Linked DNA regions of Arabidopsis thaliana. The protein of the gene in region 4 purifies or fractionates together with the protein of the main gene of each other region. This does not show direct contact. Each region holds a gene or a part of one and is shown on either strand. Other genes may lie near its edges.

The links.
Region 1: the proteins of ACX1 (region 4) and AT2G20420 fractionate together in Arabidopsis thaliana (co-fractionation; one large-scale study listed by BioGRID). This does not show direct contact.
Region 2: the proteins of ACX1 (region 4) and MSD1 fractionate together in Arabidopsis thaliana (co-fractionation; one large-scale study listed by BioGRID). This does not show direct contact.
Region 3: the proteins of ACX1 (region 4) and AT5G14590 fractionate together in Arabidopsis thaliana (co-fractionation; one large-scale study listed by BioGRID). This does not show direct contact.

What each region holds. Positions count from the first base shown.
Region 1 is NC_003071.7:8,802,765-8,809,655, reverse strand, and holds AT2G20420 (ATP citrate lyase (ACL) family protein), read right to left. Parts: upstream 4,315-6,891; 5' UTR 4,083-4,314; coding exon 3,984-4,082; intron 3,801-3,983; coding exon 3,690-3,800; intron 3,608-3,689; coding exon 3,496-3,607; intron 3,399-3,495; coding exon 3,334-3,398; intron 3,239-3,333; coding exon 3,161-3,238; intron 3,052-3,160; coding exon 2,977-3,051; intron 2,871-2,976; coding exon 2,718-2,870; intron 2,635-2,717; coding exon 2,500-2,634; intron 2,411-2,499; coding exon 2,246-2,410; intron 2,160-2,245; coding exon 2,037-2,159; intron 1,948-2,036; coding exon 1,798-1,947; 3' UTR 1,485-1,797; downstream 1-1,484. Other genes in the region: RIC6 (ROP-interactive CRIB motif-containing protein 6), read left to right, coding at 192-298, 531-989; AT2G20410 (RNA-binding ASCH domain protein), read right to left, coding at 5,462-5,503, 5,597-6,136, 6,231-6,290, 6,372-6,422, 6,539-6,606, 6,716-6,859. UniProt on the Arabidopsis thaliana protein: Succinyl-CoA synthetase functions in the citric acid cycle (TCA), coupling the hydrolysis of succinyl-CoA to the synthesis of ATP and thus represents the only step of substrate-level phosphorylation in the TCA.
Region 2 is NC_003074.8:3,415,147-3,421,259, reverse strand, and holds MSD1 (manganese superoxide dismutase 1), read right to left. Parts: upstream 3,321-6,113; 5' UTR 3,246-3,320; coding exon 2,951-3,245; intron 2,473-2,950; coding exon 2,426-2,472; intron 2,346-2,425; coding exon 2,220-2,345; intron 2,109-2,219; coding exon 2,052-2,108; intron 1,933-2,051; coding exon 1,855-1,932; intron 1,772-1,854; coding exon 1,679-1,771; 3' UTR 1,368-1,678; downstream 1-1,367. Other genes in the region: AT3G10930 (uncharacterized protein), read left to right, coding at 727-1,032; AT3G10915 (Reticulon family protein), read left to right, coding at 3,556-3,671, 3,804-3,883, 4,224-4,404, 4,501-4,642, 4,746-4,815, 4,993-5,159. UniProt on the Arabidopsis thaliana protein: Destroys superoxide anion radicals which are normally produced within the cells and which are toxic to biological systems.
Region 3 is NC_003076.8:4,701,775-4,709,529, forward strand, and holds AT5G14590 (Isocitrate/isopropylmalate dehydrogenase family protein), read right to left. Parts: upstream 5,053-7,755; 5' UTR 4,854-5,052; coding exon 4,595-4,853; intron 4,441-4,594; coding exon 4,397-4,440; intron 4,310-4,396; coding exon 4,200-4,309; intron 4,084-4,199; coding exon 4,046-4,083; intron 3,954-4,045; coding exon 3,876-3,953; intron 3,725-3,875; coding exon 3,671-3,724; intron 3,587-3,670; coding exon 3,485-3,586; intron 3,393-3,484; coding exon 3,304-3,392; intron 3,224-3,303; coding exon 3,120-3,223; intron 3,034-3,119; coding exon 2,965-3,033; intron 2,879-2,964; coding exon 2,763-2,878; intron 2,663-2,762; coding exon 2,628-2,662; intron 2,551-2,627; coding exon 2,408-2,550; intron 2,256-2,407; coding exon 2,133-2,255; intron 1,853-2,132; coding exon 1,759-1,852; 3' UTR 1,524-1,758; downstream 1-1,523. Other genes in the region: AT5G14580 (polyribonucleotide nucleotidyltransferase), read right to left, coding at 45-170, 265-435, 526-681, 919-1,239; AT5G14600 (S-adenosyl-L-methionine-dependent methyltransferases superfamily protein), read left to right, coding at 5,744-6,192, 6,282-6,526, 6,986-7,248; AT5G14602 (methyltransferase-like protein), read left to right, coding at 7,662-7,755. UniProt on the Arabidopsis thaliana protein: May be involved in response to oxidative stresses.
Region 4 is NC_003075.7:9,422,002-9,430,582, forward strand, and holds ACX1 (acyl-CoA oxidase 1), read right to left. Parts: upstream 6,894-8,581; 5' UTR 6,689-6,893; coding exon 6,551-6,688; intron 6,422-6,550; coding exon 6,313-6,421; intron 6,226-6,312; coding exon 6,164-6,225; intron 6,084-6,163; coding exon 5,874-6,083; intron 5,785-5,873; coding exon 5,697-5,784; intron 5,612-5,696; coding exon 5,449-5,611; intron 5,317-5,448; coding exon 5,118-5,316; intron 4,852-5,117; coding exon 4,654-4,851; intron 4,491-4,653; coding exon 4,359-4,490; intron 4,017-4,358; coding exon 3,896-4,016; intron 3,777-3,895; coding exon 3,666-3,776; intron 3,572-3,665; coding exon 3,502-3,571; intron 3,406-3,501; coding exon 3,222-3,405; intron 3,139-3,221; coding exon 2,929-3,138; 3' UTR 2,533-2,928; downstream 1-2,532. Other genes in the region: AT4G16765 (2-oxoglutarate (2OG) and Fe(II)-dependent oxygenase superfamily protein), read right to left, coding at 7,973-8,039, 8,179-8,258, 8,342-8,387, 8,470-8,526. UniProt on the Arabidopsis thaliana protein: Catalyzes the desaturation of both long- and medium-chain acyl-CoAs to 2-trans-enoyl-CoAs. Most active with C14-CoA. Activity on long-chain mono-unsaturated substrates is 40% higher than with the corresponding saturated substrates.

The DNA.
Region 1 (6,891 bases), on a different chromosome or scaffold from region 4:
AAGAGTTTATACATATGATAAATCCTTTTTTCCTTATATAAAAACTCGAACTTCATGATCAGTTTTGAATTACTATGATGCAAATCACGTAGAAAATTTGCATGCATGCATTGCAAGTACGTTTATATGGATTGAGGATGAATCTAAATGATTGATTATACTTTCTTGTTTCTTTCTTTTAATGATGATAGAAAGTGAAAAAGAAGAAGAAATACAAATCGGAAATCCAACGGACGTAAAACATGTTGCCCATATCGGTTGGGATGGACCATCCGCTAATGCCACCGCACCAAGCTGGGTATGTTTTTACTCTTTTCTACTTCTTTGGTAATTCTTAAAAGGCGTAAACAATAATCGTGATAAAATAGGCAAATGAAAGATTGTTTTATTATCCTACGCATATTTGGATGGATGTGAGCTCTAGATTAATACTTGACTCAAATCTACGAGGTCATATATATTAAAAATTTGACCTAAAACGTTTTCAGAAAATGTCGAATTGATTTGGTTAATGTTATGTGATTTGAAAGATGACTGAGTTCAACTCCGGCGGGGGATTCGAATCTGCTGAAGGAGTCGGAGAAGATGATTCCTCCATAAAATGTATGTCGGAATATGGTGGTCGGTCTAGAGATTTGCCAAACCTACCAAAATCTACGAGGAAAGCAGCGTCCGAGAAAGGTTCTCCGACAAAAGACAAATCATCAGACAAAACTAAACGTCGCTCTTCTAACAAAGGGACATCGTCATCGTCGAGGAGACCAAAGGAAGCCACTGAAGAACAAGACGAGTTGTCTTCTTGGCCTAGTGGATTACCGGAAATTCCAAAGAAATCTAGGAGGAAGAAGAAGTCGACGAAAGAAACCGCGGTTAATGGAGGGTCATCAAGATCGACAAGAAGATCTGATGTCGATAACATGTCGGAATATATGTCTGAGACTGGTTCTGTGAGATCTATGCCTCAATTCGACAATAGAGATGATTTTTGAAAGGAGAGACGACATATATAGAGACTTTGCTGCTAGCTCCAAATGGCTAATTTTCATTGAACACAACACACCAATTGTTAGATTTTCTTGTTCATTCTTGTACTATTATTAACTATGCAAGGAGAATTTAGACAAATATTTTTCGGTGCTATCATCCAAATCACTTGAACATAGATCATCATTGACGTCGATCATAAATATAAAAGAGCATTCTTACAGAACAAATCAACAGCATCTTTCACTTTACTAGAAACCCTATATATGAATAAAAACTTCTTGGACAAGAGCTGAGTAGTGTTAGTGTGATTTTCCTCTTCATCATAGCCCTCAGCAATAGAGCTGCATCACTACAACAATGGAGCTGCAATCCTGGTCAAAAGTTTTTGTAAATAATCTTCTTTCCTTTTGGTAATATAATTAACATTCTATCAAAAAATAAGTTTATCGTTTTGACCGTTAAATTGGAAACAGAGGACAGCTCTGTTTTGTGAAAGCCTTTTGTAGAGAGAGGGATTAATTTTGTTGTTTCAGTGACAGCTATAGTGTGGCTTCCCACAAAAACGATTTTTATTCATGATAGGAACAGTACGTATGAGATAAACTTGAAACCCTAGTATCAACCATATGAGTTGGTTAAATACAAAAAGATATTGAGAATTCTGATTTGAATCTCTTTGGATGGATCACACAAAAAAAGGAGACCAGTTCATTATTGATCTGTTTGAGGAAATGATATCCGCAAGAAAGTGTAAATTGGGCGTCAACCACAAAACAATTAACAAACCGGCTTTTGGTATATATAGAGAGATTAGTGAGCTAAAGCTTTAACCGCTTTCTCAGCTGCATCATCCAAATCATCAGCTGTTATGAGTTTCATTCCACTTTCCTTGAGGATTCTCTTTCCCTGCTCAACATTCGTTCCTTCTAGACGAACCACCACTGGCACTTTCAATGCGACCTGTCCTCGCCATTCCACACAAACACTCGGATTTATTTTCAATCATGAATATATGAAATATTATGGTAACAAGGTTGTTTCTCACTCACCTCTTTTGCAGCGTTCACGATTCCACTAGCAATCACATCACATTTCATTATCCCACCAAATATGTTCACCAAGATTGCTTTCACTTTATCGTCCGATGTCAGTATCTTAAACGCTTCCACCACCTTATTTTTTGACACAAACCTCTATTAAAATTGGTTTTCATTCCAATGATTCCCAAAAGTGAAGAAAGAAAGAAGGTTCCTTTTACCTGGTGCTCAGAAGCATTTCCACCAACGTCAAGGAAATTGGCGGGTGTTCCACCGTGTAATTTAATGATGTCCATGGTTGCCATGGCCAATCCAGCACCATTCACCATGCAACCAATCTCTCCATCTAAACCGATGTAGTTCAGGTCAACTTTAGCAGCAGCCACCTATGAGACACAACACACTATTCCTTTTAACATCCTATCGAATTAACATAACAATGGCTTTCTTGATGATACAAGAGATAGACAGAGACCTCTCGTGGATCCTCCTGTGTTGGATCACGCATGGCGAAAACCTCTTTTTGTCGGAACGCAGCATTATCATCGAAGTTCAATTTGGCATCAGCAGCTACCAATTGATTAGTTGATGTCTCCGCAAGGGGATTGATCTACAAGAGAAATTTGGAGGTTCAACAAAAGATATTTATAACTGAAGAAGTGTGTAGAAAAAAGACAGTGAGAGAGAACTCACTTCCAACATTGTGCAGTCAGTCTTGCGGAAGAGTTCGTATAGCTTCTTCACTTGTTCAATCGAATCTTTTCTGTCAGCAGCTTTGGGAGCCAGACCATCCACAACCTTAGCAGCATCTTCATCAGTGATTCCTGCAAATACATCAATTGGTACCTACGCAAAACCATGACTTGAGGTGTCAAAAACCCGCATGAGAAAGAATCTCAGAATGATATTTACTGGAGATCAGACCACCAAATACGAATCAAACAGTAACAACCTTGATGATCATGTCAGGGAACTTCTCAGCAAGATCTTCAATACTGGTACCACCCTTTTTACAGGCAATGATCAACTGATATAGGAAAGGAAAGCGTTTTAGATATTACAGCAGGGTATGAAAACAGCATGCCTAGAAGTAGGGAAATGAATAGCAGCAGCTCATCATTTGCGTAGTAGCATACCGGTCCAGCAGATTTACGGTCCAGAATAATGGAAAAGTACATCTCATTGACGAGTGACAATTTCTCACACAAGTAAACCTGCTCAAAATGAAGACACAATGAATAAACAAAGGTGCAAGAGCAGTGACAATAATAGAAGAAAAAACACCAATCATGAATAACAGATAACAAACCTTGCTAACTACTTTGCCTTGAGGACCAGTTTGCTTGGTGACAAGTACTTGTCCTAGCATCTTTCCTACAAGTAATAAAGATTTGAAATAGATCAATAACTTGTACAACAACAACAAAAAACAGACTCCAGAAAGCCACAAACAAGAAATCCTGTACAATACCAGCAATCTCTTCAGCCTCATCACGTTTAACAATGTGAACACCACCCTTAAGACCACTCTTGAATGTTCCAAGACCTCTTCCACCAGCCAAAATCTGGCTCTTAACAACCAACTGTATCACACGAAAATGACACTCTTTCAATTAGACAACAACTAATAATAGAGATTAGAATCGAATCCCTCACTGAATTTACCTCGCTTTCATTAGGGAAAACATCTTGAATAGCCTTTTTAACTTCTTCCAACGAAGAAGCAGCTACTCCTTTCGGCACATTAACTCCATATTTCCCCATCAATTCAGCTCCCTGGTTGTATCAGAATCACAATACAAACTTTACATTATCCTAAACCCAGAGAATTCTATCAACCACAAATCAATCAGTGGATCAACACAGAAACAACAGACAAAGACACAGATCGTACTCGAATTCTGACTTGACAAAAGCGAATCTAGGCAACTATCAAATGGAAATGAAGAGAAGAAGAACCTGATACTCGTGGATGTTGAGACGACGAAGCTGTTGGTTCTGCCATTTCCCGGAGATGGAGAGAGATCTGGACACGAGCTTGTTCACCAATCCCCTCATCGTTGGATTTGTTAGTAGTCGAAAAGTAGCCCAAGAGAAAATGAGAAAATGTAGAAAGAGCAGAGAATAGTCGCAGCTATGAATGATCGAGTCTAACCCTAATTTTTTCCTACTTTATGAATTTTCAATTTAACCCTCTCTATTCTTCTATGTCGCCGGCTCATTTAATTCCAAAATATTTTTGGTAACTCTTGTTAGAAAAAATCTAAGATTTTATTTTCAAAAAGTCTATATATGAAAATACCAAAGTACCATTTTAATTCACTAACAATATAACAATAAAAAAACTAAGCAATACAATTTTTCAATAAAAATGCTAACCCACTAGAGATTGACATCAGATATATCGCCGGATAATTTTTTCCTTTATAAATCTATAATTTTATTGTATATAACATCGACTGATTGTGTATTATTTGTAGTATTATTTTACTTGTATATGACTAAATATTTATATGAATAAATTTTATCCGACTTATCGACAAGACAAATTTTTAGTTACTGTATTTTAGATAATAATTTTCAGTTTATTTGGTTTTTTAATTTCCAGTTATTTAATTTTGAGTCTAATTAAAATAAAAAAATGATCATTTATTGTTTTCTCAATACATTTGATATTATTTACTTTCTGAAAAAATGAGGATACTTACAAAAGTTTCAATTATTTATTATGTACTTATGATATTACTGTTATCATCACCAAAATGAGCTAAGCCAAAAGCTTTAGTATTACTGTAAGGAATCTTCCACCGGTACGGTTGAGTAAGTTGAGTAAACCGGGATTACTCAAAAAGAAAAAAATTGTTGTCATTGGAACATAAGCCCCGTTCAGTTAGTCCGATGAGGACCAAGTGAATAACTGTCGTGAATCGAACGGCCATGATGTCATCGACGGAGAGACAACAGAAGCTCCACACACGCGTCTCAGCTTATAGAATCTCTCCACCGCATGATTCTCTCGTTACCGAGGCCGCATCTCTGCGAAAAGTGGCCCGGGGACTTTCCTGGGTCGGAACTTAGACAAGCCCATGTGACCCATTCACTTTGTCCAATGACTATTGTTACTTGTTTTCGTTTTCGACTAAATATATACACAACTGATATTTTGAAACTACCGATGTGGGACAAACCCCCCAAAAATATAAACATTCTTCTAAATCTGACCAAAATATAGTAATTTAGTAAAATTCGACTAAACAGTCTACTCAAAACTCATTGCTCTGTGTATTTATTAGTCCACATGATTATTCTCTCATATAAGTTAAATTGAATGTGTATACAATAAACCTATAAACTAACTCTAAAACGAACTTCTCAAACTTTGAAATGAACATGTTTTAGAAAGAATGCAAAATATGGTACAACCTTGACGCATTAGATCAAGAAGGTGGCTTCAAGTTCCTAATTGCAGCGGCCATGATCTGAAATAATTCCACATGTGAAATAAAATCAGACAACAACAAAGTCAACAATTATTGTTGTAATTATCGCTTAATGTAAGATAATAAACGTACCCGGGCAGATCCAGGATCAAACCTTCTTTCACCAATTCTTGTATTCCTGTCCTCACTCTTTGTGACTGCACTTCTTTGACTAGATTCAACTTTGCTGCTGCTGTTGCTGCTTTCACTACATACTTCTTCACCCATCTGTGTGCCTCTGTTCTTGCTTCTTGTTCTATAAGTACGGTCAGACGTTCCACCAGAACCAAGAACCGGGTTATCTAGGGATTCTGCTGCTTCATCTTCAATAACTTTGCTCTTGCTTCTTGTTGTGTAATCAAATATATTATTTGTTTGGAGACTTTGTCCCTTCTTAGAAAATTGTGTCGCCGCTGCTTTTGCACCGGCGATTGCAGCTGTGAGGCTGGTAACTTGCTTGATTGCAGCTGTGAGGCTGGTAACTTGCTTTGAATCAAGTTCTTTCTTCTCTTGCATTGTACAAGGAATAGAACCAGGTTTTAAGGAAAACGGGTCTTTTGGGTCAGGAAGAGGGAATTTCACCTTAAAAGAGTTTTGAGAAGGCATAAGACCTCTAGCTGCTGCTACATAAATCTGTTTCATTTAGAAATACAGTAAGTAACTGGTACTAATTTATACTACAACAAGAACCCACCAATCCCTAGGCTTTGAAGAACAGCAAGATTACCTTATTCTCTAAGTTATAGACGCCCTGGTACCCACGCATCTCAAATGGAATAATCAGTTTCTGGAAGAGTTCACAGAATCAAATGTCAAATAAGTCAATCTAAACAAAACAGTAACAGCCAAAAGATGAAGTGACTTTCACCTGTGGCTTCTCACATAGCCAACAAAAGTTAGTTTGTCCTTCAAGCCTCACCTATTACATACCAAAACAACAGTTGAGGTTTTTGCTTATTATACTAAAGAATCATCGATAACGAGCTGTTTTCAATGTCAAAGAATAGAACACAGTAATAAGGAAAATTGTTGTACCCCTTGAGGTAAAGCATCCCAGTTCTGAAGCTCATCGGAGGTGACACATCCAACAACCTCAACACATCCTATACCAACGAAACCGTATTCAAATATGTTCCAAGCAAAATCAGGTCTTGCTTATACTATAACATGGAACTTAGACTTTCAAATATGGAGATTAGTAAACAACGATACCAATTAGTCTTGAAACAGGGTAATGTTGGGGGAATTGAATATCAGTGATCCCATCAACAGCATAAATTTGTTGGTAAAACTCTTCCATTGCTTTGATAGTAGCTTCATCAGGTACTTTACTTGCAGCATGAATCCATAAACGGCCTATTTACATGTTTAAAAACAACATCATCTTC
Region 2 (6,113 bases), on a different chromosome or scaffold from region 4:
AAAGTAAAAATAAAATAAAATAAACTGATATCATATTTCCGAATTATATGTAAACGTTTTCTGTTTCTCAATGGTCTCTTTCACTCTTGTGTTTTCTAATATTTCATTTAAACCTATTTCTAAACTAAGCACATCTTTGTTGATTGATTGCATTTCAACCAAAATCGATAACCGAATCATTGTTTTTTTATGTTTTATTTCAGCTTACCACACACGTTTAGAATTTTAAAAATAAAACAAAAAAAAGTTAACTCGTTACAAATGAAAATGATATTTTTAATTGGACTCGATGGAAAGGACCAATTTATTCAACACTATTGTTTAGTCCGAACACTTGCCGCGTAAGTTTTCCAACTCCCCCCATTGACCTTTCGCACTTTCACAAACTCCGTATATATATAATGGATACACTCTCTCTTTGATCTTCACCCACTTCATCATTTTACAAACCAAGCAAGACTAATCCAACAAAAAAATAGTCCACAAAAAGATTTTTACAGATGGCGATTAACAGATCTTTACTTTTGATTCTTCTTTTCATCTCTGTTTCTCTATCGACGGCGAGGATCTTACCCGGAGAGTTTGTTCCAGTCATCTTCTCCGGAGAGATCCCTCCTGTTTCTAAGTCGGCGGTGGTTGGTTGCGGAGGCGAGCAGGAGACCAAGACGGAATATTCTTCTTTTGTTCCTGAAGTTGTCGCCGGAAAGTTCGGGTCCTTGGTGTTGAATGCTCTTCCGAAAGGGAGTCGTCCGGGGTCTGGACCCAGCAAGAAAACTAACGACGTCAAGACTTAGCACTATTCTTTCTAGAGTTTTCTGTCCTAATTCTTACTTCTTTCTTTTTTTGTTCTTTAGAGATTCTTTGATTTTTCGTTTTCAAATAGAGATTATTGTAAATGTTACATGTATTACAGAAATTTACAGTAGAAGTTTAGGAAAAATGAGGATTTTATTTGGTAATGTAAGTCGAAATGATCAAGACTTAGACTATCATCTTGTATCGTTTCATCAATATTTCTTTGATAAACGTTAATCAGCTTTTTAATTTCTATGATTATGTATCAATTTTATTTAGACTAAGAAAGTCTTTTAAGTTAAACGCATAAAAGAGTCAAGGATACCATTTGAATTGACATTGTATTAGTGTTTGGGTAACTTCCAAGAAAGAGATAAAATTAAAAGATAAGAATGGGGCCAAGGCGTAAAGAATCAAAAGTTAGGCGAAATATGTATAAATTGAATTGAACGCGTTTTTTATGAGACTTGACTATGATCCATTTTCCACAACGCAGACACAAAGATAATGCATTTTTATTACACAAGTGTGTATGCATTATTTCACAAATTTCATTAATCCCAAATTTCTTCGTTATAATATTCCTGTCATATATGTGTCGAGTAGTGAAAAACGAGAAAATTAGTTATTGTTTTATTGAAATGAGGTAATTATTATACCAATAAGATTCCGTTTTGTTTTCTTCGTAGAATAAACAATAGCGCTTTCTGACAATAATAGCAAATTTTTATTCTTGAAAACTTTCATTGTAAAACAACGTACCACACAGCTGAGTTGAGCAAATCTTAAAAACCAAAGAGACACTGTAAGTTTGTTTCAGACAACCTTAAAACAAAAGCTGAGCTGGAACTGGTTCATCTCCTTATGTCATCGTGTAAACGATTCAGTTGTTTTCCTTCTCATAAACCTCGCTTGCATATTTCCAGTTGATCACTTTCCATACATTCTTCAGATACTCAGGCCTCACATTTTTGTACTGAATGAGAGAATACAGATTGATTAGAGAGCTTAATCTTTTAAGCTAACTCATGAGACTTAAGGTATCAAAAGTGTTGTTACCTGCAAGTAGTAGGCGTGCTCCCAAACATCTATACCCACCAGAGGTACCAAGCTTCCTCCTTTTGTCACTAATGGATCCTGCACCAACCGAAACAAACTCTTTTTCTTTAAAACCCATTATTCTCACAGATGTTCATGAGTACCAAGAAATCTTTTGAACATATTCAATAGCGCATTCCTGATCATGGATAAGTTACCTGATTGGCAGTTGTGTCAACAACTAGCTTCTTCAGTTCTTTGTCTAGTCCGAGCCACTGAATTAATCAACAGAAACAAGCGAATCAAGGACCATGGTTATTATACGTAAAGCACCAGAGTCGACAATGTGAGCAGATGAAATAAAAAGGTGAAACTAGACTACAGACCACCCATCCTGAGCCTTGCACTGCAGCACCCTCAGCACTCATCTTTTTCACCAGACCTTCAAGGGAGCCAAAGTGAGCGTCAATGGCACTACCAAGAGATCCTTTTGGTGGCTCTCCACCACCTTCCTGTTATACATTAAAACAAACCATCAATTACAGAACAACAAAATCGAAGAAATACACAGAAACTCAAAACACAAGCTCACACTGGAAGGAGCAAGGTTCTTCCAGAAAATCGAATGGTTGACATGACCTGCACGTTAGAAATAAAGTCGATCAATTCCCATTCTCTAGCACACAAAAAACTCAATTTATTTCCAATAGTTTCTCTGCCAATTTCTCTTCTATCAATCCAACCGGTCCGGAGCTCAAGAAGCAACAATCCTAATACCAAACTATAGTCATCAAAATTAATCAACAGCTTCAATGTTCCTAACAAAAGTTCTATACTAAATCAACTGGTTATGATCTCAAGACCCAGCAAACAAAAGTAGCTATCTAAGAAAGCTTGCATTACCGATAAAAGTTTCATTGATTCTTACAGAAGTTTCATCCCAATTCATCAAAATTACTCATCAGCTTCACTGTTCAAACCAAATTTCTCTCCTAAATCAACTACTTCATTTGCTAATATCATCCAAACACGATCTAAACACAAACCAATCGATCAAACACATAGAAATCGAGATCGTAAAAAAAAAAAAAAAAGAGAGTCAGACACACAAACACACCTCCGCCGTTGAATTTGATGGCGCTCTGCAACTTAACAACAGTGGAAGCATCTCCCTTGTTCACAGCTTGATCAAGCTGCTCAAGAGCATTATTGTAATTAGTAACATAAGCCTGGTGATGCTTCTGGTGATGAATCTGCATGATCTCTCCACTAATGGCCGGTTCCAATGCGCCATAATCGTAAGGAAGATCAGGAAGCGTAAAAGTCTGAATCCCTCTGATCCTCAATAGCCTCGATGATGTCTCCTTCAAGCCGGCTAGGGTTTTTCTACTCGCTACACAACGAATCGCCATTGTTGGAATGAAGATTTGTTTCTCCTTCTAGTGGTCGCCAAAAATGAACATGTGTATAAGTGGAGGGTTATGATAATATCACTGCCTGTCATGTATAGAGAAAAGTGACTGTTTTGACACGTAGACATGTGATTTTTATTTATGGGCCGTAATATTGGATTAGTGAGCCCAAGGCCTTAATATAATAAAGCGTAATTTTTAATATTTTGTGACGGCTAAATGTTACTTTTTTGTTTGTTCACAGGAAAAAAATAAAGAAATGAAGAAAGTTGACTAGAAACGGAGAATTTCCAAATGTTGAATTTGTTGGATGCATGTGAAAGCCAATTCTATTTGGTTCCTCCTTGATAATCCACCCAATCGCTGTCATTCTCCCATCAATCTAGCTGCTTTCACAAACCATTGTACTGAGATCGTATCTTTAAGGTAAATTTCAAATCGGAGTCGGCGAGATCGAAATAGGAACCTGGAAGTCGGAGAATTTGTGTAAATTCGGTTTTTTTTTTTTAATTCTCCGATGGATAGTTTAAGTGATATCGATGGTGATTTCGATGGAAGAAATGAAGGAGGATCGTCATCGGATTATCGATTGTTGGGTCGGCAGATTACGGTTCATCAGTTCATGGGTGGTGGCAAAGGCGAGTTCTTTTTTCCAGAATTTGTGTTTTTTCATCATTTTGGTAGTTTGTGATGAGAATTTTCTCGGATTTACAGAACAGAAAATTCAAATTGGGGATGATAGTTGGAATAGTTAGGGTTTCTGATTTTGGTTGGTTGTGAAAATCGTCATGTGTGTAAGTACATTTAGCATTTTGGGTATAGTAGAAAATGGAAAACTTGGCAGGTGAAAGTTAGGTTTAGGTTTGATTTTGAATGAGAAATTGATTGATTCAAATCTCTGGATACGCATGATGAGTTCATAGGTCCAGCAAAAAGCTACTGTTTGTGATTTTTGTATGGCTTTGTTCTTTGATGTAGCTGCTGACTTGCTCTTATGGAGGAGGCGACATCTTTCTTTGGGGGTTATCATTATATCAACTGTAGCCTGGCTTATATTCGAGTTTTCCGGGTTGCCTTTCTTATCTGTTTCTTCGGATGTCTTACTCATCGTGATCATGATATCATTCGTTCATGCCCGGGTTTCTGCTTTTAGGAATAGGTGCGCTCTACTTTTCACTAGTCTTCTTTTTCTTAATTCTTTGCTGTTATGTGACTGATTAGTGATGATTTCTACCTGTTATCTCTTTATAAGCAGACAGTTGCATTCGTTGCCAGAGCTTGTTCTATCAGAGGAAATGGTGAATAGTGCTGCAGCTTCTTTCCGTATAAAACTCAATCACTTGCTTGTAATGGCTCATGATGTCACAGTTGGCAACGATTTTCGACTCTTCTTCAAGGTTATGAAGCTAACCCATTCAGAAACTCACGATGATGTTGAGTGAAATGACATGGGAACCGTTAAGCATCTGAACTGTTGGTCTGACGATTTTTCTTTAGCAGGTGGTGATTTGTCTGTGGCTTCTCTCTGCCATTGGTAGCTATATATCTCTCTGCACTCTTCTTTACATCGGTTAGTAACTTGATCCTTAAATGCAAATGAAAGGAAAAAGCTTCTATGTTTTTTGATCCTTCAGTTTCATCCCCCACGTTGGCTTGTTGATCTCGTTTTAGTTCCTGCGACATTGTTGTTTTAAACTCAGTGAACCAAATTCTTATATGAAGTTTATACTTTTTATGGTGTGAACAGGGACCATCCTATCTGTAACAATACCGGCTTTGTACAGTAAATATCAAAGCAAAGTAGACAAGTGTTGCGGGACGATTCACAGGCGGTTGTCTCACCACTACAAAATAGTAGACGAAAATGTTATAAGCAGACTCTCATGGAGCTTATCCAAGGATAAAGATTCATGAGCTTAACTTTGGTGATTCTGAGAATGCTTTTACTTGTTTTTGTTTAGCTTTTCTTGTTATTCACCATTTGTAGTATAACTAAACGCCATATCCAGAATGAATATAAGATGGTTTCTTTGTTCAACTAAATTAACTCTTGCCTTCGTCTGAAGCTTAACACCACTGGAGGAAAAAATACAAAAAAAGTTTAACACCGCTGTTCGTTAAACGACGTCGTGGCGCAGAACAATACTCACATTTCAGATGGATTTGACTAGCCCAACTTTAATGCCCATATGCTGAGAATGTTAGGTCACGTGTTCACGTCACAGAAGAACCTCACTTACACAATTTAATCGGACTTGCTACAAATATGACGTCAGGAAAAGAAAAACAGTGCTACAACAAGTCTACAAGTAATGACTATACTACATGATTGAGTAGGTGTAGTCACTTGTGTTGTTATAGTATTATACATGGTCATATCAATGAAGATGATCAAACTCTATTACGTATTCCTACGAATTCCATTTTAATTTATCATGTTTTCTTTCAACGACTATCATTTCATTACATAAAATGAAATTCTATGATGATATAGTATTCCATCTCCATGTCCACCTACTATATTTTATATTAATTAAATGAATTTTACTTGTATCACACTCTTTCGTGGTGGTATATATGTTTATCTTTCACAACTCATACAGTACTCATTTGCTTGTATATATAAATCCTATCATGTATTGATCTTTTTATGTCTTCAACTTTTTATATATATCCTATCATTTTTATGTCTAGTATAACCTAAAATGGCCATCATCTAAATTTAAATAATTATTCTTTATTCTAACAACTTGATCAATTAGACATAGATGTACATGTTATCTGTACTGATGTACATATACGAATTAAATACGAGTACCTTAAATTTTCTGACTATATGAGACCCATAGCAACTTCTAACCAAGCATT
Region 3 (7,755 bases), on a different chromosome or scaffold from region 4:
TATTACATTATACTAGGACATCCAACAAAGGTTCTCGAACCTACCTCTGGATGAGCTAGCCTCAGAGCAGCTGCTAAATCTTTCTCTGAGATTTCTCGGGATTGAACATCAATCATCATAGTCTTATCCCTTGTGCAAGCGTATATCAAATTGAGATCACTTGAGCTAAGCTATACAGAGTTCGACCACAACAAAGATACAAAAAATCAAAACAGAGGCTACAATTTGTAAATGTAGAGAATATACCAATATACCACTTTTTACCTCATCCATAGTTGGATTGACAACAAATTGCCCACATATCCTTCCTATCCGGATGACTCCAATGGGCCCTCCCCATGGAACATCTGATAGCATGAGCGCAGCTGATGATGCATTAGCTGCCAGTATATCTGGATCCTGCTTCCCATCTGACGATAGAACACTTGCCATTATCTGCATGTGACAAAATTTACAGATGAAGATACCAAAAAACAAACTTTCACATAGATCTATATCCCAAAGATTTTTTAGAAATTTTCATACCTGAACTTCATGGTAAAACCCTGTAGGAAACAATGGTCTGATTGGTCTATCAATGAGCCGGCCACATAACAGCTCCCGCTCCTTTGGTGCACCCTCTCTTCGCATATACGTATTTGGAATCAATCCCTGAGCGTATTGCTTCTCTTGATAGTCAACCTGACAGTAGTTTCCAAGAAGAATCATAAACATCAGTTTAAACAAATCACCATCAACCATTACAGATAAAGCAATTTCAATAGCAGATTCCTGAGAGAATTCTACAAATGTATACAGCATAAAGGTACCAAACATCTCTAGACCATTTCTTAATTCCTCACAGATCATAGATTCCTTAAGACAATTCATTCAAAATCGGTAACTAAAAGGGAAATGGTGGGGAGATTAGTAACATACAGTGAGAGGTAAGAAGTCCCGAGGCGAGTCGGTCTTAGCACAAGTAACAGTAGAGAGAACTTTGGTCTCGTCCATGCCGAGAACAACTGAACCATTAGCAAAGCGAGCGATTTTTCCAGTCTCAAACGAGACCACGCGGGATCCGACTTCGAATTCCTCCTTAAATGATTCCAAAATTTTGGTTCCTGCGGAGACCGGCGAGTCTGGAACAGACGGAGCGAAACCAAGGCGGCCGGAGCAGATGGTGCGAAACCCCAGAGCACGCCATGCGAGGAAATTAGGAAGAGAAGCTGAACTAGCTCGATTCACAATCGATGACATCACACATACACAGAGAGAGTGAGAGATGCGGAGAAGAGAGGGAATGAGAACGGAAAAGGGTTTAACGCACCGGTGAAGTGAGGACTGAGCCGACAACGAAAACTAAAAGAAGGGTTTTAGCAGTCCCGGTCTGGTTCGGTACGGTTCTGCTATAAATAATCGAATTTACAAACATTAAACCGACGCCTATGATCTCTGTTTTAGATTTTGATTCTTGGACAAAATTTCTTCAAGTATACCGTTCATTTTCAACAATTTTAACACCTACTTAACCCAGCAAAACTGATATTGCAAATCGCCATTGATCACTTTTTAGTGTATGTATAAATTAGTGTTGGATACGAAACTGAAAACAGATATTGTCACTCAAATTTTTAAAATAAATTGGAAAAATTAAGCAAAAACGTTTATTTCCAACCAAAATATTCATATAAACCCGCCAATATTATTTTTGTTTTGTGTTGGGTTATGAATTATTGCGAGCATTATTTTTGTATTGTTCCCAATTCCCAGGAATGGTCAGACAAGAGGAAGCTCTTTGAACTGTGTTTTGAGCTTGGAGGCTACTGCATCAATGAACTCTTCCGTGTTCAAAAACAAATCCCTACTCACCCTGCATTAAAAATGTTTTATTAAACCATCAAGAACGATAATAGAACAGTAACAGCATTATAACTTAATCCAGTATGAATCGGTTTGGCTTCTATATGGTTTTCTATTAAAATACACAACTTAATTAGAGTTTTCAGCACATTCATCAGCTTGGAACAGGATCAGTTTGGATTTGATTTCACATTAAAGTTCAAGACAGATTAAGCTCTTTCGTATTTCATGCACATGACCAGATTGTAATAGAAAAGTTGCTGCTAGTGAGAAAAGGAAAGACTACTTACTTGGGACCATGGATTAAAAGGGCAAGATCCTTGGTCATTTTCCCTGTCTCAACAGTGTTTACACATGACGACTCGAGCTTCTTCACGAAATCCATTAATTTCTCGTTCTTATCCAGTTTCGCCCTTGAGAAGCAAAAAGGGTAAAAAAAATCCATCAAAATGAAAATCAAGAGAAACTAGGTTACAAGACACAAGAACGTTGTCAGTGTAAATGCATAAAGAAATGCAGAACTCAGTTAACTAGTAATGTAGACCGTGTGTGAAAGGCAAGAGACCTGTGTTCTAAGCCGCGTGTCCATGCAAATATTGAGGCTATGCTGTTAGTACTGGTTTCTTGTCCCTTTTGGTGCAGTCGGAAATGCCGAGTTACTGTTCCATGAGCCGCTTCCGACTCGAGTGTTTTCCCATCAGCGGACAGCTGAACAAAACATATCATATCAAGACTTTCATTTGCAAAGAAAAATTGAATATTGGCTTTCGGTTAACGATACAAACCAAAACGGAGGTCATGAGGCCTAATGAGCCAAACCCTACATTTAGAAAAGAATAAAGAAAGGAAGCATTAAGTATCTTAGTTGCTGTATCGATACAAAAATAATAATTTTAAGAACTATATTTTTTAATTTATACCTTGGGCAAGAAGATCGCTTTGAACATCACCGTCGTAGTTTTTGCAAGCCCAGACATAGCCACCTTCACTTTTGACTGCGTAAGCCACCATGTCATCAATCAACCGGTGCTCGTACCTAAACCAACAGTATTATTCACATATTACCTTTAATGAATATGTAAAGAAAAAGGACGCAGAACACAATTTTTTAAGAAAAAGGACCAGATTGAGTGCTCTTCAAACTTTTGCTTCCAATTCGCCTCATAAACTTCTTGAAATATGTCCTTAAATCTGTATTGTTCCACCACATATTAAAGCAGCTCGCTTGCTGAAAAGTGAAACCCAGACTTCAAATCACCAAGAAGATAAAAACAAACCTGCCATCATATTTCTTGAGAATTGTGTTCTTGGTGCTCAAGTATAATGGCCATTTCTTAGTTAATGCCATCGCCATAGATGACTCAGCAAAAGCTCTAATTGACTGGCATGTCACAAAACCAGCATGGTTGTCAGAAACCAAAACCATGCCAAAACTAAAGCCAGTTACTAAAAGAGACAGACCTCATCTACGTTGTACATAGCAAGTGCGACACCTGGGCCCTTGAAATCATATACATCTAGCTCCACAGGTGCGTTTCCATCTTCTGGGACTAATTAGACAAGAGATGTATCCACTTAGAATCTGAACTATATGATTGAAGAATCCTCATTGTCTAATGAATATAGTTTGGTATGATCTTACCAAAAACCATTTTCAACTTTCCTGGCCCTTTAATTACTGTATCAGTGGCACGATACTGGTCACCAAAGGCATGTCTACCAATGCATATAGGCTTTTCCCAACCTATAAAGACAAAAGATTTGAGTTCTCATTTGGTATCTCAAAACAGATCCTAACACAGATTCATAACAAGGCAAATAAATTTACCAGGAACAAGCCGGGGGATATTGCTGCACATAATAGGTTCACGGAATACGGTTCCTAGAAAATATAGAACACTGTGTAAGAAATGTGTAGATACTAGATTGTAAAAGAACCTGCTAACAGGATAAAATAAAAAGTCGCAAGCAATTTAACCAAGATATTCCTATTCAGCAAACATGCATTGTTTTTTGACAATACAGAGACAAACCATCTAGAATGTTTCTGATCGTCCCATTAGGACTCCTCCACATTGATTTCAGTCCAAACTCCTTCACTCTACCCTCATCTGCCAAAAATAACATACAGAAGATGTAAAAATGCTTCCTCTGATCGGAACAAGCAGCATATGTGTTGCGATTTGCGAAGGACATCACATACCAGGAGTTATAGTGGCACATTTGATAGCAACATTGTACCTGCAAACATAAAAGTTTTAAGCGCGAAATCAGCTTATTTCACATAGAAATTAAAATGTTTTCTGTTACTAAAAGAATCTAAACCATAGAAAATGCAAAGAATCAATAGCACTTACTTAAGAGCTGCTTCTGCACTTTCAACTGTAACCTTGTCATCAGTAGCATCGCGATTCAGAATCCCCAAGTCGAAGTACTTAATGTCCAAATCCAGATAAGGAAGAATAAGCTGCAAAGACAAGAAATCAGACATGTGAGCTCTGTCAAAAAAAAATGAACCAACTGTTGCAGACTTGGTGATAAATTACATCCTTACTTTCTCCTTTATCATACTCCATATCACCCTCGTCATTTCATCGCCTGAATTTCCACAAAATATAAACAAATTAGAAACATTCTCAAAGATACCAAATTCAGTAAGAACATAAACAAATGACTTATACCAATCCAACCAATTATCTGGAAACTACGATCAAATGTAAGTAAGGAACACTGATTGCGCAAAGAATCTCACCATCCATTTCAACGATAGGATTCTGAACCTGAATTCTATCAGAACCGCCTGAAGAAGCAAAACATCGAACAGCTGATGCGCGATGAAACTGAACGGGAAAAGTCACGCGATTCCTCGAAGCGCCACTAGAGAATATACCGGAACTAAGAAATCTCGAAGAAACGAACGAAGACGATAAACCAGCAGAGGTTGAAGAAGATAACATGGCGGTGAGGCTGGCACGGTACGTGAAAACGCCGTGCGTGAGCTTATTCAGCATCCGAGACTCCGACCTCAACCCAAACTCTCAACTTCGATCACTGAATCAGTGAATCTGCAGCTTTCGGTCGGCAAGTTTATTGCTAAAGTGTGCTCTGAGCTCTCTAATAATCGACGATTCCGGCGAAAAGGCAAGGTAAACAAGAAGGAAAAGAGAGCCGTATAGATTATTTCAGTAGGCCCAACATAAGGCCCAGTAAATTTTTCTGTCTATATAAACCCAAACCGGATTTGCCGGTTCGAAGGTACCAAATCTGTAATATGGTCCGGTTGGTCTCAATGTCCGATTTGATTTGAAAAAAGGAAAGCGAAAACCCTACTTAGAGGTTTTATTTCTTTGTCTGGTCAGATTTATTGTTCTTCCTTCTCACAAAACATTATTACCCAAACTCCATTATCAGCTCAAGTTCTTAGCTTTCTTCGTGATTATTCCTCTGTGAGTATTTCTGTCGTTTTTCGCTATTGTTAAACTGTTTCTTTCAGCTTTTTATCTTATAGAAGCTGGTAATTGTGTTTGGTTCCAGTTTTTTACCCGCTTGTATTAAAAAATTGTGTCTCTTCGTTGAAGTTAGGACTTTTGGATCCGTGAATGGGATTTTTCTAGCTTTTTTCTTAAATTTTAACTTAATCAAACTTTAAATTGTTTTTCTTCTGTGCATCTAAGCTAATTCATTACAATGATTTTGAATCTCAATGTGTTTGATTGGCTGTGCAATATTGCGTAGAATGCGTAGCTTTGGATTGATAGCTAGATTGGGAATATATATCGTGATTTGTGAGAATTCATTGTTTTCTGAGTTAAAAAGTGTGTTGTTTAGTAATTAACAATGAGACTTGGAATTGCAGAGCAGAAGCTGGAACTCAATCTACAAGTGATTTCATAATCTCAAGATGTTACCAACTGAGTCAAAGAAAGCCTTTTCATTCAAAAGGTGTATTGAAGATGGGGACTTAGTTATTGTTTACGAAAGACATGATGTGATGAAACCAGTTAAAGTAAGTAAAGACGGTGTGCTTCAGAACCGTTTTGGTGTGTATAAGCACTCGGATTGGATTGGGAAACCATTAGGGACGAAAGTATTCAGCAACAAGGGTAAATTTGTGTACCTGTTGGCTCCTACTCCTGAACTATGGACATTGGTTTTAAGCCACAGGACTCAAATTCTTTACATTGCGGATATTAGCTTTGTGGTTATGTATCTAGAAGTCGTGCCTGGCTGTGTTGTTCTTGAGTCAGGCACAGGTAGTGGTTCGCTTTCGACCTCACTTGCTCGAGCTGTGGCTCCAACTGGACACGTTTATTCATTTGATTTCCATGAGCAGCGAGCTGTCTCTGCAAGGTAGAAACTTTCGTTTTCTTTAGCTATCTCGTTGTGCTTTTCTTTTGAAGCTATAGTATTTATTCATCCTTTACTTTACTTTGCAACAGGGAAGATTTTGAGAAGACGGGCATAAGTAGTTTAGTAACCGTAGAGGTTAGAGACATTCAAGGAGAGGGTTTTCCTGAGAAACTGTCAGGTTTGGCTGATTCTGTGTTTCTAGACCTTCCACAGCCTTGGCTTGCGGTTCCTTCTGCAGCAAAGATGTTAAAGCAGGATGGAGTTCTATGCTCTTTCTCACCTTGCATCGAGCAAGTACAACGGACTTGTGAAGTCCTCAGATCAGATTTCATTGGTAAGTTTATTCTGATTTACAACATCTCTTTCTACTTTCTTCTCCAACTCAAACTAAAAGAGCTCTAGATCTACACATTATCCGAATGCTCTTGCCTTGGAAGGATCCTAAAAATCAAAGTACTAAAGTAGTGAATTTGGGACTGAACCTCTCCTCGATTTTCAAATCCTAGTGGCTAGTACTAAAATCATGTTGTATAGACTGAAGTTCTGTTCTTTAGTCTACAATTTTTTCCAATATGTATCATCGACTTTCTATGGTCACACATCTTTGGATTAATAAGTCGAAAGGATTGCTTTAAGTAGATAAGTATCTTTAGAGAAATAGTTTGACATTCTTTGGCCTTGGAAAGTCAGGGGAATCAAAACCAACTGTCATAGGCATATAAGTCCTTATTTCCTTGAGAGTTTCATTCTTTCTTATACCGGTTTTTGCTCATGATGAGTTTGTTTTTTGCAGAGATAAGAACGTTTGAGGTGCTTCTCAGAACATATGAAGTGAAGGAAGTGAAAATGGATACCAGTAGCATGGTTGGTGAGAGCCACGAGGAGGACAATGAAGGAATGAGGCCTTGCAAGAGAAAGCACCGTTCAAACGAAAACGACACTGTTTCACAGGACAACTCTTCTAATGCTTCTTCAGTCGTCATGGCTCGGCCTTGTAGTGAAGCAAGAGGTCACACCGGTTACTTAACGTTTGCAAGACTCCAATGTCTAGCTTAGTCCAAATTCTCCAACTACATTATGATATTCATGTATTAGATATTTTCATGATTTGTCTTATTACGCTTTCTTTTTGTTAAAAAAATAATTGCTGTGAATTTGTTTCTAGAATACAAAATTCGAAATTTGGTAATGACAAAACCAAAATCCAAAATTTTGAAATATGATAAATAGTAGTTTCTAGAGATAAATTGTTCTACAAGTAATATATAAATAGAAACGCGTTTCCTTTTCTCGATGGGAGAAGGAGACATGTAATGCACTCTATAAATATCGAAAACGTCTGTTTAATTTTCTTTCTCTTACAATTGTCTATTCACAAACCCTAGAGATCCATTCTTCGAAAGCCTGAGATCAAAATCCAAATTCTTTTTTCCTCTTCTTATAATTTTCCCTTTATCCATCAAGAAATTATGTGTCCCTTGAGATTTGTATTAGTGTTCTTCTCGGCGGTACTCGCAGGATATATCGCGTGGAGGACGGTGAATTCTACGCCGGAACTATTCT
Region 4 (8,581 bases):
ATTCTAGTGTACTGTTATCACTCGTTTCTCCTAAATCGTCCAAGTTCTTCCAAATTAAAAAAATACGTACTTGAAACAGCCCGAAATCGATATTTAAATTAATTTGTTCTGTTTGGTTTTGAACCAATTTTTAGACAAATATATTGGTTAGAAAAAAACAGAATTTTATCTAAAATTATAATATAATATTTCTTTTAAAGTTCTGACATATGCTTTGGCCATCGTTTCATTGAAGTTTGAAATATCTATTTTCGAGTAGATCCACCAGTTACTACATGTGGATATAACTTGAGATCATTTGTTTTTTTCTGTTTGTGTAGACATTTTCACAGTACAGTAGATTTTAGAAAAAATTAGATTCAATTGTAACTTGTGGGCCCGAATTTACTTTTAGTTTACTTTACAATTTTTCTAATTTCCGTCTTTTGTTTTTTTCCCAAAAATGTCATATTTTCGTTTGCCCGACCATGACCCATGTCTGCCTACAAAGCTAACCCACGTTTTTCACTCGGATTAAGTTTGACAAAGACAAGGTTAATATTAATACATCTTAAATCTCATTATTAATTTAGCAGTATACGCCTCTACACTATTTCGAAAATCGGAAGCTCCAGCCTCCAGGGACTACTTCAGCTATGGTTTCAGTCGAGACGCAACTCCTAGTTCGTTAGCTTTGTGTGCTCTGTTTCATAAGTTTCTCTGGTTTTGGTTCTGATATTATTGCTCTGTTTCTTTTCTTGACCAAACACTTTTGTAAATATCTTTTTTTATTAATTAATTTAATTCACATTTCGACAAATAAAACTAATTTAGCAATAAAATAAAATTCGTCTTAAGAGTTAACTCATTAAAAAATGCCTCAGGTAATAATAGTAGTATTTACGTTTATATATATAATCTATATATTTTTATATATTGTATCACGTTATTGAATATCTGAATTCTTGTCATTTTAGCAGGGGTTAAACCGTTAAAGTATGTCCTATATACTCCATTTTGATGCGAAAATGTTAAATATTGACATAAAATAACATAGACTTATTAATAAAAGTGAAAGAATTGGAATGAACCCACTAGCCATTTATTAGTAACGATAATTTTTTTTTAAAATATATTATTTAACAACTGTCAGTCAATGTTTTTTACTTGGACGTTTGCTTAATAGACGGATTAGGTTATGCACATTTGCGGATATACGTTCCTAAATAATTGTAGAAGTTTTTTTGATATATTATAGAATTTAAAGATTAAGCATTTTTAGTAAAGAATTTGAGTGAAGATTGCTGTGGACGACACACGTACGCAAAACGACGTAAACACATGTAGTGTATATCAGTATATGTACAAAGTATGATGTTGAAAATGTATACATTATCATATAGAGGGAGCAAGTTACGTATTAGTTTTATCGTGGGGTCCATTTGACGATTAAGACTAAGATAAAAATAAAAATAAACGTTTTACATAAAAGTGAAAAGACTATAGAGATATGTTGATTATTCAGTAGTAAACAAATTGAGTGATTTTTTTATGAAATCAAGAATTTTTTTACTGTAATTTTTTTTTGGCAAGTACTGTAAATTGTTTGGAGTGTTTTCTGTTCAGATTTCATAAAAATATCTCGACCAATAATATTTATTTAAGATAAATATCATAATATATAGATTAATGGATTTATATACAGACACACTCTTAAAAGTTAAAACTGTACGTAAGTTTAAATAAGGGAATAAATAAGTAGAAAGTCAGATTAGCTAGCTAGCTTGGTGAAGAAAATATATTAGAAAAAGTAAAATTTAATTCGGGTCGATGTCTTAATTCCCTAAACACTTTAACTACTAACCATTAGAAAATGAAAGATAAATGCCACTTTTGAAACTCTTTTTTAGTTTTTTTAAAACAGTTGGTTGATAAAGGTGATTACAACCAAAACATTAGTTTGCTCTATTTTAATTTACCTACCAAATTCGGTTATTAAATGCTTAATTAATATAAAGGTCTGGAAGTCTTCTGTCGGAAAATGATGCTAATTGAAACAAAGCACAATCCTGAAAACTCCATATGCATGTTTCATTTTAAGCAAACTTCTCTTTCATATTGATGTTGCAAACAAATTTTTCTTCTTCCTACGACGCATTACATTGAAATCGTGGGTTAACTCCCAAACTTTGTTTTTGGTGAAAATTTAATGGAAGGATATATGAAAAACAGGTTTCTTTTGTTTACAAACCACTGTTTCTTACAGCTTAATTACATTTTTAAAAATTATACTTCTTCTGTTTTAAATTACATGTCGTTTAAAGTTTTGCACAAAAATTAAGAAAACAATTAATTTTTTACTTTATGCTCAATATATTCTCTAACTTTTTAATTAGTTAAGACATTAAAAGTTTGAAGATAAAACTAAAATTTTTACCAAAATATCTGCATTGAAAATCCAAAACAATAATTATAAAACAAAACTTAAGTGATAAAACAACAACTAAATTAAAACGGAGTGAACAGTTATTTAAAATATCAGCGTATGAGTAAAAAAAATTTCTACAATGGAAGTTGCATAATTTCTGAAATAACTTTGCCTAAGTAACCCTAACCCTATATATTACATAATACAATCTTAACGAAAGCAATAGAGAAATGTCAATATATGTGATTGGACTATATACGAAGATTACAAATATCCCACATATCCTTCTCAGAGTAGAAACGATCAATTGTATTAATGTTGCATTGAAAACGAAAAATAGTACTAAAATTCCGCCATATGACGATCGTACATTAACTATTACATTGCTACATATAAATAAGGGCATCGCCAGTTTTTAAACTGCGAAATTATTCAAAGCGAGAAGAAGAAGAAGACGAAGAAGAAGGACGAAGCAAGTCTAATGTGATTAACCATATCGAGTATCAAGCAAAGAAAACTCTTCAGAGCCTAGCGGTACGAAGTTGCTGCTGAAGCACAGGTCGAAGGTATTCTTGGTACCCATCAGGAACCACCGAGTCGTTCAATGGATCCTTCAACGCTTCCTCAAAGAGCTTTGGGTACACATTACCGTCGTAACGGCCAAGAACCGAGTTCAAGTAATGGTCGGTGTAATTGAAGGCGTCCACAAGTGCAACCGCATTAGGCCGGACCTAAAAGAAGCAACAAAAACGTGTTAAAACTTAGCTTAAAAAGGAATCAAATGCAGAGATGGAGAGAGAGAGGAAGAAAGAACCTGAGTGTATAAGGAACGGAGCTGGTCGTTAGCAAGAGAGGCTTGTTTGGGAGTGATGCAGTTAGTGGAGAGGAAATCGCCGAGATGTTTGTGGAGGAGATAAAGAGCATAAATGTAACACAGATTATTCAGCTGTTTCTTCACTCCTTTGCCACCTATGTCTTGCTCCAGTTTCGCTATGAACCTAACCAAGACAAAGATCACAAAATTCAGGAACTGACATTGAGAGGGAGAATCATTAACTTGTTTGATACGTGTAAACGGTGAAGAAGAAGATTACTTGGAAACAACAATCAATTGGCAATGAGCAATAGCGGCCTCAACCAAATCAGCCAAGAGCTCTTGGAATCCTGCAGACAGGAAGAATTTGTGAGAGTTTGGTCCTTTGGCTTATGAGCTGACATGGCAACCAATTGTTCTGGATTCATGGAGTTAGAAGAGTACCTTGTTCCTGATTCTCAAACTTGCTGAGATTTTTGGCACACGTAACAGCCATTCTGAGAGCCCTAGCTTCGAAAGCTTCCAGTACAACATCAGGGTTTAACCAATCCTCAGCTACATGCCCAAAAAAAAAAACCAACTTTATCATTAACTCGGGAATTATATTGAGACAAGATCATTAGTTTGTAGTTGTAGCAGGACGAAGAAAAAGACATTTAAACTTGAAAACTCACCCTTTTGAACACCAGAACGACATTGCAAAAGATGTGCTGCCCGGCCCATATAAGCAGTTGTGCCAACAGGAACCTTTCCAGATCCCAGCTGGGCGACTGTCTTCATGAGGAATCGAGCAACCTAAACAATAGCGTGAATTGAATTGTCGGAAACATTGGGGAAACAACAATGAACCAAACACTTCAAAAGCGGTTAAATGTGGTTTGCATATCAACCAGAAAAAAAACAAAAAAAAACAAATTGCAGGTGACAAAAAGCCAAAATAAAATATGAAACAGAAGAAATTGACATAAACCTGCAATTAACCATATCTAAGAAAGTACAAAGCTCACAATACGAAAGCAATTTGAGCTGACAGAAGTCCAGAGAGACATAAGATAACGAGCCACATGCTAAGAAATCTATTTGAGCTGACAGATTTATTCTAGTAAGTGAGAATAGCTCGCAGTTGATGACAAATACCTGTAATTGCAGCACAACATTGTCTCCTTCGTATGTGCAGGCAGGAACATATACAGCAAACAGCTCGGGGAGCCCACTGCACCACAAGTATCCATGTCCACCACATAACTTACGACATTCTTCAATGCCATCCTGCACCCAATAGTACCCTTAAGCTGAATTTTCAACTCTAAATACACCTCCAAACAATGTCAAGGAGGGAACAAACTTCCAACATGTGAGCAGTTGGATCCTCAGAGAAACGAAACCAATCAATCTAGTCTAGTGAGTATAAAGGATCAGCTCTGGAACTTACCGCAGTGGCTGTGGTGGTGAGAGACTTCAATCCTGCAGTGCATGCATGAGCCTCAGGCAAAGTTGCGAAATCACTAGCCGCCAGTCTTTCAGTTACATCCGTGTACAGCCATTTTAGCCACTCTCCAACAAATCGAAATGCATATGCAGATGCTAGCAGAGGAAATAGCCTGTTCTGCTGAGTTTTATAATCAATCACCTGTGATAACAACAAGCATAAATATATCACATTCCCTTTTCTAGCCAACATAATAGTCAGCAGACGTTGATGAGAGTTTTAAAAAGCTATGCAAAACCAAGCCGAAGAAAAACAGTTCACCAGAAACTTACAGACAAATTTGGCTAAATATGCAAAATATTCTTACAAGCAAAGTTTTTCAAGGTAAAATAGACTTTGAAATTTGTTATGATCCAACATCAATGGGTGTAAACAACCATGCGTATCCTTGATTTTTGAATAAGTACCTGTGTCTCAATGCCACCATTATGTGCGCCAAATTGCCTCCGCACTGCACTGTATCTTGTAGCTATGCAAACTGCTCGAGATAGTGCATTGGAAGCATCAGCCACAATTGTTTGTCTCACATACACCATAGTACCATATACCAGCTGCTTTGGAACATCCGATGGAACATATTCTCCTTCTCTTGTAACTTTTGACAGCCTGAAACGTTTTGAAAGAGGAGAAAAATGTAGAACCATAAGCCCGAGTTTATGCACAAGCAATTTCCTCTAGAACTATCATTACATCGTGAATGCTAATTAAAATCAGACCCGAAAGGCAAAGAGAGAGGACCTCATGAGCATTTGATCTCTAGGAATGCGAACATGATCAAACATAAGAAACCCGTTGTCCATTGAATTATATGCTCCATTTCCCATCTTTGTCCCGATATCACCAACAGTTATATTCGGAAGAGGAGAATGATCTTCTAAGCTTCGCAGTTGCACGATGAATCCTGGAAGAGAAAGTTTAAGAAAGCAATACCCAAGCAAGAAAAATTGAACAAAAAAAAAATACTGGAAACTTTTCCCGGTACATACCATGGATACCGTAGTCTTTTCCGTTAGTTATGAGACGAGCGTAAACAACAGCATGAGTAGAAACTTTTCCCAAACCACCAGGCCACCACTATTCAAACAATCAAGACAGATGAAAATCTTACACAACCAAGAGAAACTGTGCATAATACTCAATCAAAGGCTTCTTGGTATACTTACTTTGGATGCAGTCTGAGTTGGAGTGTGAATTACAAACTCATCAGTCTTGGGATCAAATGTGGCAGTTGTCTCAAGTCCTTGAACATTTGAGCCATGACCAAGCTCAGTCTGTGCATAACACCCAATAATCTGCATCTTATTGGCCAGCGACAACCACTTCTTCTGCTGCTCCTCTGTACCCTGCCCCTTAATAGCAGGCACAAACATTCCCTATAGAGCAGAGATACAAAAACAATGAATCAAAGAATCAAAATCCTGTCTCCAGAAGATAAATGAGACGCAGGTAGTACCCAGTGCAGATCCACATAGGCAGGCTGGTCGATAAAGTGCCTCAATCTTCCTGCTTCTTCCTCTGTAACAAACAAAAAATGAAAGAGCACAATAATAAGACGCAATCAAAAAACCTTGATAACAATACGTGTGTGAGAACAATCCATACCATTGAGACGAAGCTCGATAATCCTTTTAAACGCATGGGCACATTTTCTCAACGTACTCTTAAACAGCTCCTTCCTACTCAACCGAGCTCGATTGCTTTTCTCAAATACCTATATAAACAAGATTGAGAAATTCACAAATCTAAGAGAGACCTAATCATATTCCCTCGCCGCAAAAACATTTCCCGGAATCCAAACGAAACCAGAACAAAAATCAACGAGAATCGCGAAGAAATTCACCGGATCGCTGGCGACAAGGCGGGCAATTCGATCGGAAACCTCAAAAGCGTGGCGGGAACCAGCCCAGACGATCTTCATATCCTCAACGTCGAACTCTGCTTTGTTTCTCTCATCGGCGAGGTGATCAATTCCTTCCATGATTCGTAATTCAGAATCTAGTAGCTAAACACTCAAAAGTTTCTCGAGAAAACTCTCAGAGATGATAGGAAAAAAAAAAAAAAAAAACAGAGGGAGAAAAAGAAGGACAATGCCTCACTCTACCGATTTAATTGCAGAGTAGTTGGAAGAACAATTAAGCTTTTTATTTCGGAGATAAAAGAAGAGAAAGACAAATTGATTTAAATATAGACTCTTTTTTTTCTTCTTTCTATAATTAATATATTTTGGGTTTATCTTTTTCTCAGATCCACTCTCCGACATAGATAAAACCCACGTGGAAAATAATAAATTTTGGATTATATATTCCTAATATAAGTTAATTAGTCAACGAATGTTGAAAACAAATTAAGTTGTTTGCAAATAAAACCTCGCAAGTATGGAATAATGTGATTTTTTCCCCCTCATATATATATTTGACTAAGAAAAAAAGGATATCTACGTATAGAAAATTTTATATGCTGTATAACAAAGGATATTTGACAGACAAAAAGTGGTTGTATTTCAGTATTTGTGTACTAAAATAAAATTTAAAATATCGTTAAATCAGATGTGTGGATAATTTTTTTTTCTTTTTCCCATATGTGTTTCCATATGAATTAGTAAATGCATGCATCTGAAGAACATGTTGATAAAAAGAAGATAAAATAGTTAGATTGAAGATAAGATAATGTTTTGTTATCTTGTGTTTAAAATAGTATTTTGTTCCAACTTTGCAGGTATAGTAGCGTTATGCACATTTCGAAGAAAATAAAAATAAGATTTAAGGGCCCGAATGGTGACTGCGTTTTGCAGGTTCAAATAATAACGAAAATACATAAATATATATATATATATATATAGATTTTGATATTGAAATGTGATTTTGGGTATGGTCTATGTCAACATTCATTTGTGTTTTTGTGTCTGTCAAATGCATTTGCTTGTCAACTGTATGGTAAAACTTGATTAATATTTGTGTTTCCTTCAAAGTATAGTTAAGTAATTACACTTGTATACAACCGTATTATTCTCGTAAATATTAAAATGTTTGTCTTTTGAATTGAAACAGTAATGTCCCTATAAACCACAGAAAATTCGCCATGTGTATGAGTATGGTCCAAACACGTAAACGCCCATTCAAGTTCCACGGCTTTTAAACGTGTCTATCTTTGAGACTTTGACTGACTAATCATTTTCAAGTTCCATAAGTTTCACTAATTAAACATTATGGTACGTAGAAGTTTGAACACTATTTTTTTCTTACATTTCGTCACAAACATAAGACTAGGAAGTGGCGTATGTTAGCCTGAAACGCTCCTTGATATAGTCGCCGGCGAGAATAGGCGGGAATCTGCACCGATGGAACTAAATCTTTATGAGAGAAGGACTAAACTTTTATTCTTTTACACTTGAAGACCAAATGATTTAACAAACGTGTAACGTGCCTCTCCTCACACCCTTAAATTGGATTAAGATTCAAGAAGAAATACCTTGGGGGACAAGTTTCGCTGCAACAACTCTCCAAGCATTTCACATTACAATCTGGATTGGGATCTAAGAAGAACACCACCTACAAAAAACTTTTCCTTTAAATAACTCAAAACTTTATCAATTTGTATAGAAATTAGAAAGAAAGAAACAAGACAAAGCTACCGAGTAACGTTCTTTTCCCACCGGCATCACTCTGTGCAATGTAGACCTAAACCCATTACAAGAAAATACGAAATGTGAAGAACGCATAAAAACCGCACTCACGACTAGGTAAACTGGTTTAAGTTTACCGAAACAATCCATTGGTCCATCTCTCCATCATATCACCAATGTTGACTATAAACGCCCTGCGGTTACAGAAAGTCCCCGGATTTCAACAATCATTTCTCATCATAAACTAGT